Linked DNA regions of Schizosaccharomyces pombe. The protein of the gene in region 2 purifies or fractionates together with the protein of the main gene of each other region. This does not show direct contact. Each region holds a gene or a part of one and is shown on either strand. Other genes may lie near its edges.

Region 1 (6,956 bases), on a different chromosome or scaffold from region 2:
TTCAAAAACATATCCTCTTTACCAGATACCTATACTAAATTGAAGCCTCAAGCGCAACTTGCTCGTCTCAGTTACGTTCAATTACCTCCTCCCAGCTCTGATTACTATGAAGACGCAAGACTCGTTTTCAGGGAGCTAGCCATGAATAAAGGTCTAGTGGCTAAAGTCGATGGACACGAAGGAAACGTGTATTCTGTAACTTTGTATAATCCTAGTGATGGTTCAGATTTTTCTGACTGTATTAATGCCCAACTGGTTGCGCTCGGCATGGCTAGTGTTATTCCCAAGAAAAAAACATCTCACTTTGAAAAAGATACCGCATCCCTCAATATTCTAGAAGAGCATCAGCAAGAAGCACGTCTAAATCATATCGGTTTCTGGGTATATGGTGATCCCCTAGAATATGAGGACTAAAAATATTTTACTTCTAGTATAGTAACATTGATCATATTCGCTAGTACTTTTTGCCTACAATATATCTAGTTATTCACTTTAAAATATTGTTAACGTATATATTTTAAAAAAATCTTATTTATCATTAAAATTCATGCACCTAAATTATTTTTTTAAAAAAGAAAAGAAAAGATAACCGAACAAACCAATATCCAATTAACCGTTATAAATAAAACGTGAAAATTAAGTTCAAAAAAACCAAAATTACTTGTCTACATGCTGCTCTTTGGCGTGGGCAGCAGCACTCGTCAATCGAAGGGAACAAACAACACTTGTCTCACAATTTTCACCACGTTGATCGCACGCATAAAATATTTCACCACCGTCCCCTAACTTTCCTCTTCCATCAGCAAGCAAACGGATGTTTCTGCCGGAAATGACATGGATCAATTCAGAGGTTTCAACATGTCTGATTTCAATAAAAGTGGGTTCAAAAGCCAATATATAAGGATAACTTAAGGCAAAGTTTTGAGGACTTCCTTCCCAAACAACAAACCATGTAGGACGAGAACGCCATCCATCTCGATTTACGTAAAAAGCAAATTGGGAATAGCATAAAAGAAATTCACCGCCATTCATACGATAGATAGCGATAGGTTTAACATTTTCTTTCTTCTCCACAAATTCAAGAGACGTATCGGCTGGATCCAGTAGAGACTGCGTCTCTAGGTTATCGAGACTGACCACCTCAAAACCTCTCGTACATCCGACACAGAGTTTATTCTTCAGGAAGTGAACCGAAGTTGATTCCGTGGGTATATAAAGCTCTTTGACAATCCTCAATGGGTCTTGGTTAACAGTAAGGAATTTTTTCAAGCTTGGCATGTTCCGTGTTTTAGAGTAATTAGTGACTGGTTCAAAAACCTTTATAGTAGCACTCAAGACGGAACTTTTGACAGCACACACAAGAACTTTACCCAGACAAATTCCTACGCGAAAGAAAGTTGTATGACCAGAAACTTTCCTTGCTTTTTTAGGGGCTTGAGTAGTATCCGCATCAATCATTTCCAAAGGATACGAATATAACACCTTATCGGAAAGCAGTAGCAATAAACTATACTCTTCAATAACCTCAAGCTGTGAAATGTTGGGAATATTTAACGCACGTACAGGCTTGAATTGAAGTGGGCTGTTTGCTTTTCGAAGAGAGACGTACACACCTGTGTCAGTCCCATATAAAAGTCGACGACCACTATCATAAACGCCTATCGCATTTACTTTATTATCACCAACAAAGAAATTAGAGCAAATGGTAACAGACTCAAACCACTGGTTACGATGTTGTAGCAATGTTTGTTGGTTGTCAATATGCTCTAACCACTTATCCCTACTAACTTCAGTGGTTGCATAAAGAGTGATTTCGTACCCTCTACGACCCAAAAGTTGTAAGCTAAATGGATAAAATCTAGAAGGTGGCTTCCCATTCGCTGCTTTTGATACAGCTGCTAGTTGTTGCTTACTTGAATAAGGGATTCTTAATCCATTATCATCAACAAGGAATAGTTGAAGAAGTAATAGAGGAATAGGCTATACTAGTTAGAAAAAACAATTTAAATGAATAGAAAAAACATACTCTTTGAAAAACTTTCAATAATTCACGTTTATTAATAGTCTTTGGTTTTACTATCAACAAAGCATGGTCAAAGAGAAACAAAGTAACATCCGACGCAGACTCTGAAGAAGTGGAACCAGCACTTCTTTTCTTCAAGGGTCCTTTGAATATTAATTGTCTGTTCGCATCAAGCAGATGTAAATCATAATGTTCTCCAGGTTTAAAGACCAGCTGTTGATTCAAATGAAACAAGTTAAACTTATTTTCTGCTTTTCCGCTTTCAACATTAAGACGTGAGAGAAATCCTCTAACGATATTAATGACCTTCGGAATGTCTTGTTTATCAGGGTTACCCTCATCAGTATATTTTAATACCGCTTCTAGAAGTAATGGATAACGAGCCAATCTGGTAGTTGGTTTAGTCAGATAGCCGTTTAGCTCTAGCTTTCGTGATTCTTTCAGACGTTCAACGTCACTGACAAACTTAGCAAATGCAGGATTAGATGACTTTTCCTTCTCAAACTCGTATTTTCCGTAGAGTTGGCCTGCACCATATCGTATGAAAGGCTCAAATTTTGGAACGTGCTCCAAAAATATATCCGCAATATTATCCACAATGGGTTTATAGTTTTGTCTTTTAGTAAGAGCTTCAGCCAATTTAGAATTAACTGCTTGAACCTCTAAAGCATTTAAAAACACAGTACGAATAAATTTTTCTTTTTTTCGTTCAGGTATACAAGATGAAGCCCATAGTGGTTTAATCCAATAATCCCGAAGATATTCCAAATCCTTAACAAAATCTCGCTCAGTATAGATAACCTCACAAATTACTTCTTGACGCTTTCTTTCCCGGTCACTGACACTATAAGCAATCTCCTGGGGTACGCTGTGAATCCACAATTTTTGTTCCTTATCATCAAACGCTAGGGAGGAAGACTGTTCAGTGTTTGCACGCATTTTGGCAAATAGTCTGTGCTGCTGTTCCAATCGTCGAGGACATGAAATAGAATAGCAGGGATGATCTTTTGCACATGTTGGAGAGTAACAATGCGTCAATAAAGTAAATATACCATTTGGAAAAGAAGTGTCACCTAACGTGGACGGTGAGATTCGAGTGCCCGACTCATTGTCCTCCAATTCCTTATGATGGTTTTTGTTGTTAATGGATGCATTATCATTTGCGCGTAAGAAGGGGCGATAACCAGTACCTTGAAGCTGATATATTTCACGATGAGAATCACGAAGACGATGATCATAGGTAACATCATGAATAAATTTTTGTGCATCTAAAGAGCGTCCGACAAGTAAAGCGAGATTTCTATCAGAAGTATGTATAATACCCATTAGCACGGTGACTGCATGATCGCCAGTAAAGGCATTAGAATAAATTAAACCGTCTTTCGTGATATCACCTAGCTGTAGTCTATCTAACAATTCGCTGGCAACACGAGAAAGTAAGGCAGCATATATTCTGCGTCTTCGTTTATTTTTATGAACAGGCGAGCTAGCTTCCGAATTAACAAACGTCGGCGTTGTTGTAGAGCTTCGATCATTAATTAGGGAATTTCCACTTGCACGGGACTTATAAGAGCTCAACGTAAAGGACCTTGCAGTAGGTTCAACACCAAGTCTCTGCTGCTTAACTGCTTCATAATGAGCCAAGGTAGAATGATCAAATGAGCGATTTCGCATATCATGTTCTCTGTCTCGTAATGTGGTAGAGGGACCATGAAAGACATTAGAAAAGACGTCCAACCCAGAAAAAATATTCTTATGGCTGCTAGCAGAAGCTATGCTTAAATGAAGATCCGCGGGATTGCTAGTAGATTTTGGTAGCTGAAGGGACTGGGCAGGTGGAGAAACGTTAGCAGGATATTCACTAACACTACGTATGAGAGGTGCTTGAGCTGCAGGAGTAACAGCATTGGGAAGTGTAAAGGCGGAATTAGAAGAAACAATGGGTGGGTGAGTTCCTGAAGTAAATGAATGAGAACCAACAGTGTGAGAAGAATCATCAGTTGGTAATCGAGAATTTGAAGAGAGAAAGGGATTTTTAGACGAACGAACAGGAGAGCCGTAAGGATAATTTTGATCGAGATGAAGGTTTGTTTCTACGGACTCTGTAACAGAAGAGACTGCTGAAAGGAGGTTCTCATCTACTGAATCCGAAACCGGAGACGTGCTACTCTGAGACTGACGCCGAACGAAAAAAGGATTTTGGTTGGAATCATCACCGGATGATGTGTGCCAAGTCAAAGAAGGGGAATTAGAGTTATTGGGCGCATGATTCGATACCTGAGGAAAATGGGGTGTGGTGTTTAAAGATGCATATAGAGCACCAAAATCATTTCCGTCTTTAAGAGTCAATGGGACGATCTGGTGATTATTTGAAGTACCAAAAACGGAAGGAAAAGATTCACTGTGCTCAATATTTTTCACAGGAGATGCTTCTCTCTGATGAGTTGGAGGTGCAGGAGGTTGAGACGATGGAGGCTGCAAACTCGTGGAACGAAAGGGCAAAGGTTTCCGAGGAAGCCTTCGCGTGGGAGGAGGAAGAGGTTTTTTTGAGACTGGAGCCGGTTCCATGAACGCAGGAGTACTTACAGTTCTCGCCGGCTCCCGTTTTCTTGGAGCACCAAAAATTTCCTCATAAGCACGCGAGCTCTCATTCACACCGAGTGCATTTGGATGCCGGTAATCCATTGCTACTATAAAAACAATCAGTTTGACGATCGAATCGACAATGCTGAATGTTTCCCGTGAAAACGAGGGTTTGGTGGTGGAGAAAAAGACAAGATAATTTGACCACAAACTTTCTGCGAAAGTAGCTACGAACTCGTTATAACGGTAAGATGATGAAAAATTCTAATTTATACGATTTTCTAAATCAAAGACCATTAATATGTAAATTGCGTATTGCTTGATGAATTAATGTTTTGCTTTAGTATATTGCTTTCACCTTCAATTTCTTTTGCATGGAGGGTTTCCACTCGAAACACATGCTAAAAGGCGACATAAAAAAAGGCTTTTGTTAGTGTTTCCAGAGTTGAATGTTTAAAATTTGATTTAAATTATAATAATAAGTTTATATAGCCGTCCTGGTTCGTTCAATGAAACAATTGATTTGTTTACTTGTCTGCTTAGCAATTTGAGAGAGCAACAGGTATATTAAGAAAAGATTATCCTCGAAGGGAAAAATACGTATACTTAATATATCAGAAGAATTGTTACAGCAGCAGTAAACCGCATTAATATTATGAAGGGATGAGAAGCTATAAGTCATCAGTATGCTGTTTTGGGCTAAGTTTATCTACTTCTTCTATAGATAAGGTGATTTCAATGTTGAATATGTAGTAAAAAAGTCTTGAACTCCTTAAAAAAAAAGTACAAATCTGAATTTTCACTAGTCCTAACAAAGTTAATATCAACATTCAACTGCATCCTGGTCGACTTTCCACTAAAAAAAAAAACGCTTATATAAAAAGGGAAGTCATGAATGAACTCCTTTACTTTATATTGCCTATTGCTTTTCTACTTGCTGCAATTTATGTGCTCACTTTTTCTGTCCGACCAGCTCATAATTGTATTACCGATTTACAAATATGAAAAACATCATCTAAAATAATTAGCTTTAATCCGGATAACCTCAATTGATCGATTTCTATGACTATGCTGTATTGACTTATTTTATTTTAATTGCGTTCGCATTGTTTACTATTCAGCTTGTGCTCAACATCATATAAATTGATCAAATATCTTTTTGTACACTTTATTTGCCCTATTTATCGTTTAAATCATGTAATCTAAATTTGGAAAATTTGCTAGTCAAAGACCAATTTTGTTCTTCCGTCGCGAACATACAACCAGCCATTTTCTTATCCACTCCGCTCGCCGTCCACGAAGATCCCTTGGTGGTGGGTTATAAGTTATTTAACATTTACACATATATTTAAAAACCATAAAGTCCTATAATCTTTTCTTAGGCATCGATTTTGATTTATCCCAAACGTTTCATTAGAAGAGGTTGTTTTTTTGATCAAGTCATTACCTTTCATAATATACTGCTTTTGCTTTCTCTCTTTCTCTGTCTATAAACCTACGAAACTTGATTCCTCTGAAACGCTTGGGAGCTTTCTTTCCTTTTTGGGTTGTTTCAATCAGATCATCCTATATTATTCCTTCCGCCCTAACCCTTTTATTGTGGCATCACAAACCGAATAAACAGACTGTTGCATTGATATTGCGATACAATTCTTTCTTTCTTTTTTTCTTTCTTTCTGTATTCGTAATTTTATGTCAAAGTCTTTTATTAATAGAGGACGGGAGTTTCTCTGGTTCATCGCATAACTTTGAAAGCATCAATCGTTTTCATTCCGGCTTACTATAAAATTGCTTTTTTTGAGGGCGTACGAGATTGGTTTGCATTTTTTGAATTCCATTGACACTGAATTTGTTCTATTTTAATTTATTTTCCCTTATTTTATTCCATTTATTAATTTCTCTTCGCATTTCTTTCTTTTTTTTTATACTCTTCTTTCTCAATTCCTTTTTCTATCTTTTTTCACCTCTCTTTTCTCTTTTGTTGCACTGTCCATCCTGCAACATTTAGTTTTGACCTTTCTCTTTCTTGGATTGCAATTGAAATTGACTCCTATTTGGCCTTAGCTTGCCTTGATTCTTCAAATATTATTGTAGTTCTTTTTTGACCTAGTCATTTTTGGTGATTGTGGTTCCCCCTACCACTTTTTCTTTTATGAAGCTCTCCAATGAACTTTTTCATCGGAGCTCGAAAGACCATGGTGGAAAGAGCCGAATTTGTTTAGACTCTTCAGAGGACACTTATCCTCCTCATTCCTCTTCTCCACCATCTTTTCAGAAACGTCTATCGTTTTCCGACTTTTCTACCACCAGACTCTTTTCTCCTCCTTTTCTTTCTAAACGTTCGAATAAT
Region 2 (4,086 bases):
AAATACCTCTTAGTGACTTCCTAGTATATTCAGGGATGTAACCAGAAATTCTAAACTTGTAAACTAAGCCGTTTATATTCAATTATCAAGTAATGAAAAATTAACAGTGTAGACTAGAATTAGATGTAAAAAATGAAAGGAGAAACGAGTGAATTAAATAACCTTAGGAAAATCAATTGCAGATTAGTCAAGTTTGAAATGGCTAGCAAGAGCCTGGCCTGTGTCAGACTCTTTGCTATAAGCTAGTTCAATGGCGTATAAGAGGAGAGTTAAAATAGCACTTACCCAACGCCAAATTTCAGCGGAACACAATATTTGATTCACTGGAGAAGTGAAAGAGGGTGTTGGGTATAAGTGCTGTAATAGAAGGTTTGTATAGACTGCAATAAGTATACATGGAGAAAGAATACTCCACATACCCTGTTTAGAAGTTCGACTGTACTCGAGAAAGATGATGTTATTTTGTATTGCAGGTAAAATTCTTGTTACGGCATACATAACTGATATGCGAAAAGCAAATGTAGCGAAAACACTCGGCGCTACGGTCTTAGCAGCCGCTACCATAAAAAGTACAATATTATAAAGCGTCCTTGGTAAAGTAGCAGATATAGTGGAGATTAGATAGTGAACACTGTTAAAAAATGTTAAAATTCGACTGCTCGAAAAAAAAGCAAGAAATTGGTAATAGTGAATAAGTAAAACATGTTGGAACTTACCTTTGAAGTATATTAGGAGGAAGATAATCAAACTTTGGTTTCTCAAGAGAACTAGTGTTTGGATTGCCAAAATCAGTACAAACCATATATACGGTGTATGCAATATACAAAAACTAAATATGTTAAAATCAGAAATAAGGAAATAACAATTACCATTAGCGATGCTTCAGATAAATTTGCACGTCCAGAAGCAACACCATAAATAGAAATTACAATCACAGTTGCAAGGGAAAATCCGATCATTAATGCATTAGGATTGGAGATAGAAAAAGAAGATACACGATAGAGGAGATAGAGGCTCATTGATATGGCACTACTAGCATTAAGCAAAATAAAGAACTGCGTTTAAGTTAACAAACGTAGGCATAAATAAAAGTATAAAATATACGTACCATCCAGTTTTCGGACTTATTATGGACCAACCAACGGCTTAGATGGCCAAGAGCTTGTACAACTAAAAGCGACGCCATTCCTTCTAGCAAATTAAATAGGGGAGTAAAGTGTAGTAGAGCAGTGTTCCAAGCAGAAGCAAGAAAAGAGGCATATTTATTCTGCTCTATGCTTGGTGATGCATTAAGGGCTATTATTAATAGAATAAAAACTAAAAGAGGTTCAAAGAAATGTAATGTTAAAGCAATTTTTCGAAGCCCAAACAGCTTCAACAAAGCAGTAGAGAAAAAGTATACTTCTAGTGCAAGTGTAAGTATCTATTTTAAATTTATGTTAGTTTATTTTTTAAGAAAGAGAAAGAAAGAAATGTTGAAATAACTTCATTCCTAAACTTACCAAACCGCAAAACCGACCGCCAATCTCAAAGGCGATTCCTACTAAAACTATTATGACTAAAAAAAACCCCAGGGAAAGGAAATTCCCAAACATTGCTAGCATGTTGCGGAAATGTGTTGATATATTTGCTTTAGGTTTTCCCTGAATCTCTGGTGCTTCATCATCAATAATTTCCAATATAGAATCATCCATTGCTTCAAAACTCGTGTCCTCCACTGTCGAAACCGAAATATCATAATTATTCGACCTAATTTCCTGGTCCATTGCCAAAAATTATTAAAAATTGGTCAAATTCGTAAATGCAAGACGTTGATTTTTCAATTTTTGTACAATTACTATCTTTTTAACACAGTAGAACCCAAACTGAAAACTACTTCACTCTATTTTTTCTTCTATAATTTTAAATCCTTCACAGGTAAACTATAAACACTAATTTTTACATTCAGTGCTGTTTTAATCGTTCATGAAGTAGCACTGATCCCGTAGCTAAGGAGTTTTGCTAAATAATTTTATATGAATTTTGAACGGCTGAGGCAATGAAACTTATCAAGCTTCTTTCATATTCCTTATTAATCGTTAATAGATATACGACAATATAACGCAATACGTGGTTTGTATGTATCTTGGAAGAGGGGGAGCATGCTCGTAACCACACCAAAGCCTATTGTTTACGTTTTAAAATTCGAAAGTATACTAGCAATTTACTATAAAATATTGTATAGATAAAAGCCAAAGGATTTTTTAAACATAATAAAAAGCTATAACTACTATCTTTTCCATCAGGTCGGTTTTACTGGGCTGCTCCACTTGTGTGTTTGCATAAATTTATAAAAGGAAAGTTGAAATTTAGTTCAATTGAATAGATTTTAACAATTCTTTTTACAATTAAATTACTCTAAGACGCCGCTTATATTTTCTTTTTGCTTTGCCCCCTATTTATTCGTTGCTTGAGTTATCAGTCGCCTTATATTTACATTGGTAGTTGAGATCGATTTTTTCAAAGCGGGCAATTCCTTGCGTTCACGAACCAATTATTGATATACTTGCAACAATTTTTTATTTTAAAAGAAATTTTTTATTCGACATTATGACTACTGAGCTCCGTCGTAAATTGGTTATTGTTGGCGATGGTGCTTGTGGTAAAACATGCTTGTTGATGTACGTTTGCCCTTTTAGAAATTCTATTCATTGTTATCGAGCTTTTCAAATGTGAATTTGATTTATCTAAACAACAATTGTGTTTTTAAAGCGATTAATCTACTAACAATTATTTTAGTGTTTTTTCCAAAGGAACTTTTCCTGAAGTTTACGTCCCTACTGTTTTCGAAAATTATGTTGCCGATGTCGAGGTTGATGGAAGGCATATTGAATTGGCACTATGGGATACAGCTGGTCAGGAGGATTACGATCGTTTACGCCCTCTTTCCTATCCAGACTCTCACGTCGTTTTGATTTGTTTTTCAGTTGATGCTCCAGAGAGTTTGGACAATGTTCAAGAAAAATGGATTTCTGAAGTTCTTCACTTCTGCTCCAATTTACCCATTTTGCTAGTTGGGTGTAAAGTGGATTTACGAAACGATCCAAAAACAATCGAAGAGCTCTCCAAAACCTCACAGAAGCCTATCACATTTGAAGAAGGACAGGTAGTAGCTCAAAAGATTGGCGCCTATAAGTATCTCGAATGTTCAGCGAAATTGAACGAAGGGGTCAATGAGGTTTTTGAGACTGCAGCTCGTGCTTCCATGCTTAAATTTAAGCCTGCTAGTGTACCGAAGACAAAAAAGAAGAAGCACTGTATCTTACTCTGATGAAATGCAATCTCTGTTATGGTGTATAAGAGCGTTCTATTAATTACATTCTGTATTGTTAGATTCACTATATTCATTTATCCTCTTGTGCAAAGGAATTATTTTACGAGCTTAACCTTTGTGGTACCGTACACCAAGTTTTTTATCCTTCGAATCATTACCTAATGAGTTTCCATGAATGTTTAAATATTTCATAGTAATTAATTGTCTAATCTTTTATTTAAACTTATCGAAGCCTTTCATTAAAAAACTAGTATAAACACAGTTATATTCATTCACTATTTCGCGAATGTTTGTTGCGTTTTGATTTCAGGAACGTGTTAATTTCCTCACGTAATGTATCATCTAAAGAATTAGTAACTAACAGTGGAAAAAAAAAACTTACTCGGTGTCACATCATCAAGCGTTAATGGAGTTCGATTAAATGGGTCGGTGGCATCACTTAGTAGATGTGCTTTAATAGTAGACCTATCAATCGAAATGCCAGATCTCGGTAAAACAACAGGATCTTTCATTATTGTAAACATAAGAGGATCTAAGAAGTAGTCAGGAATATCACCCATGTCTTCCTCTTCAGTAGCCTCTTGCAATCTGAATGCCTCTACCCTATTCACAAATTCTTTAATAGCTTCTATATCAAAAGATGACTTGAGGTTGTGCTTAGTCATAATGCTAGTCGCACGTTCAAATATTTCTTTACTATAAGAACGGCCATCGTGAGCAACAGCTTCGACAAATGCAGGTTCATTGCACAGGTTAAGATAAACATCGAAAAT

Evidence for each region.
Region 1: the proteins of rho5 (region 2) and rgf1 purify together in Schizosaccharomyces pombe (affinity purification with western blotting, with the first as the bait; one study listed by BioGRID). This does not show direct contact.

The regions. Positions count from the first base shown.
Region 1 is NC_003421.2:1,243,015-1,249,970, reverse strand, and holds rgf1 (RhoGEF family guanine nucleotide exchange factor Rgf1), read right to left. Parts: upstream 4,786-6,956; 5' UTR 4,709-4,785; coding exon 2,027-4,708; intron 1,981-2,026; coding exon 658-1,980; 3' UTR 501-657; downstream 1-500. Other genes in the region: tudor domain and nuclease, Snd1, read left to right, coding at 1-414; RhoGEF for Rho1, Rgf3, read left to right, coding at 6,759-6,956. UniProt on the Schizosaccharomyces pombe protein: Stimulates the exchange of Rho1 and Rho5 GDP-bound form into GTP-bound form. Controls septum formation, cell wall synthesis and localization of F-actin patches. Coordinates actin deposition with cell wall biosynthesis during bipolar growth.
Region 2 is NC_003424.3:2,131,119-2,135,204, reverse strand, and holds rho5 (Rho family GTPase Rho5), read left to right. Parts: upstream 1-2,153; 5' UTR 2,154-2,589; coding exon 2,590-2,660; intron 2,661-2,778; coding exon 2,779-3,310; 3' UTR 3,311-3,520; downstream 3,521-4,086. Other genes in the region: family protein ICE2, read right to left, coding at 184-631, 717-829, 870-1,055, 1,109-1,423, 1,503-1,766; ufd2 (ubiquitin-protein ligase E4), read right to left, coding at 3,582-3,655, 3,696-4,086.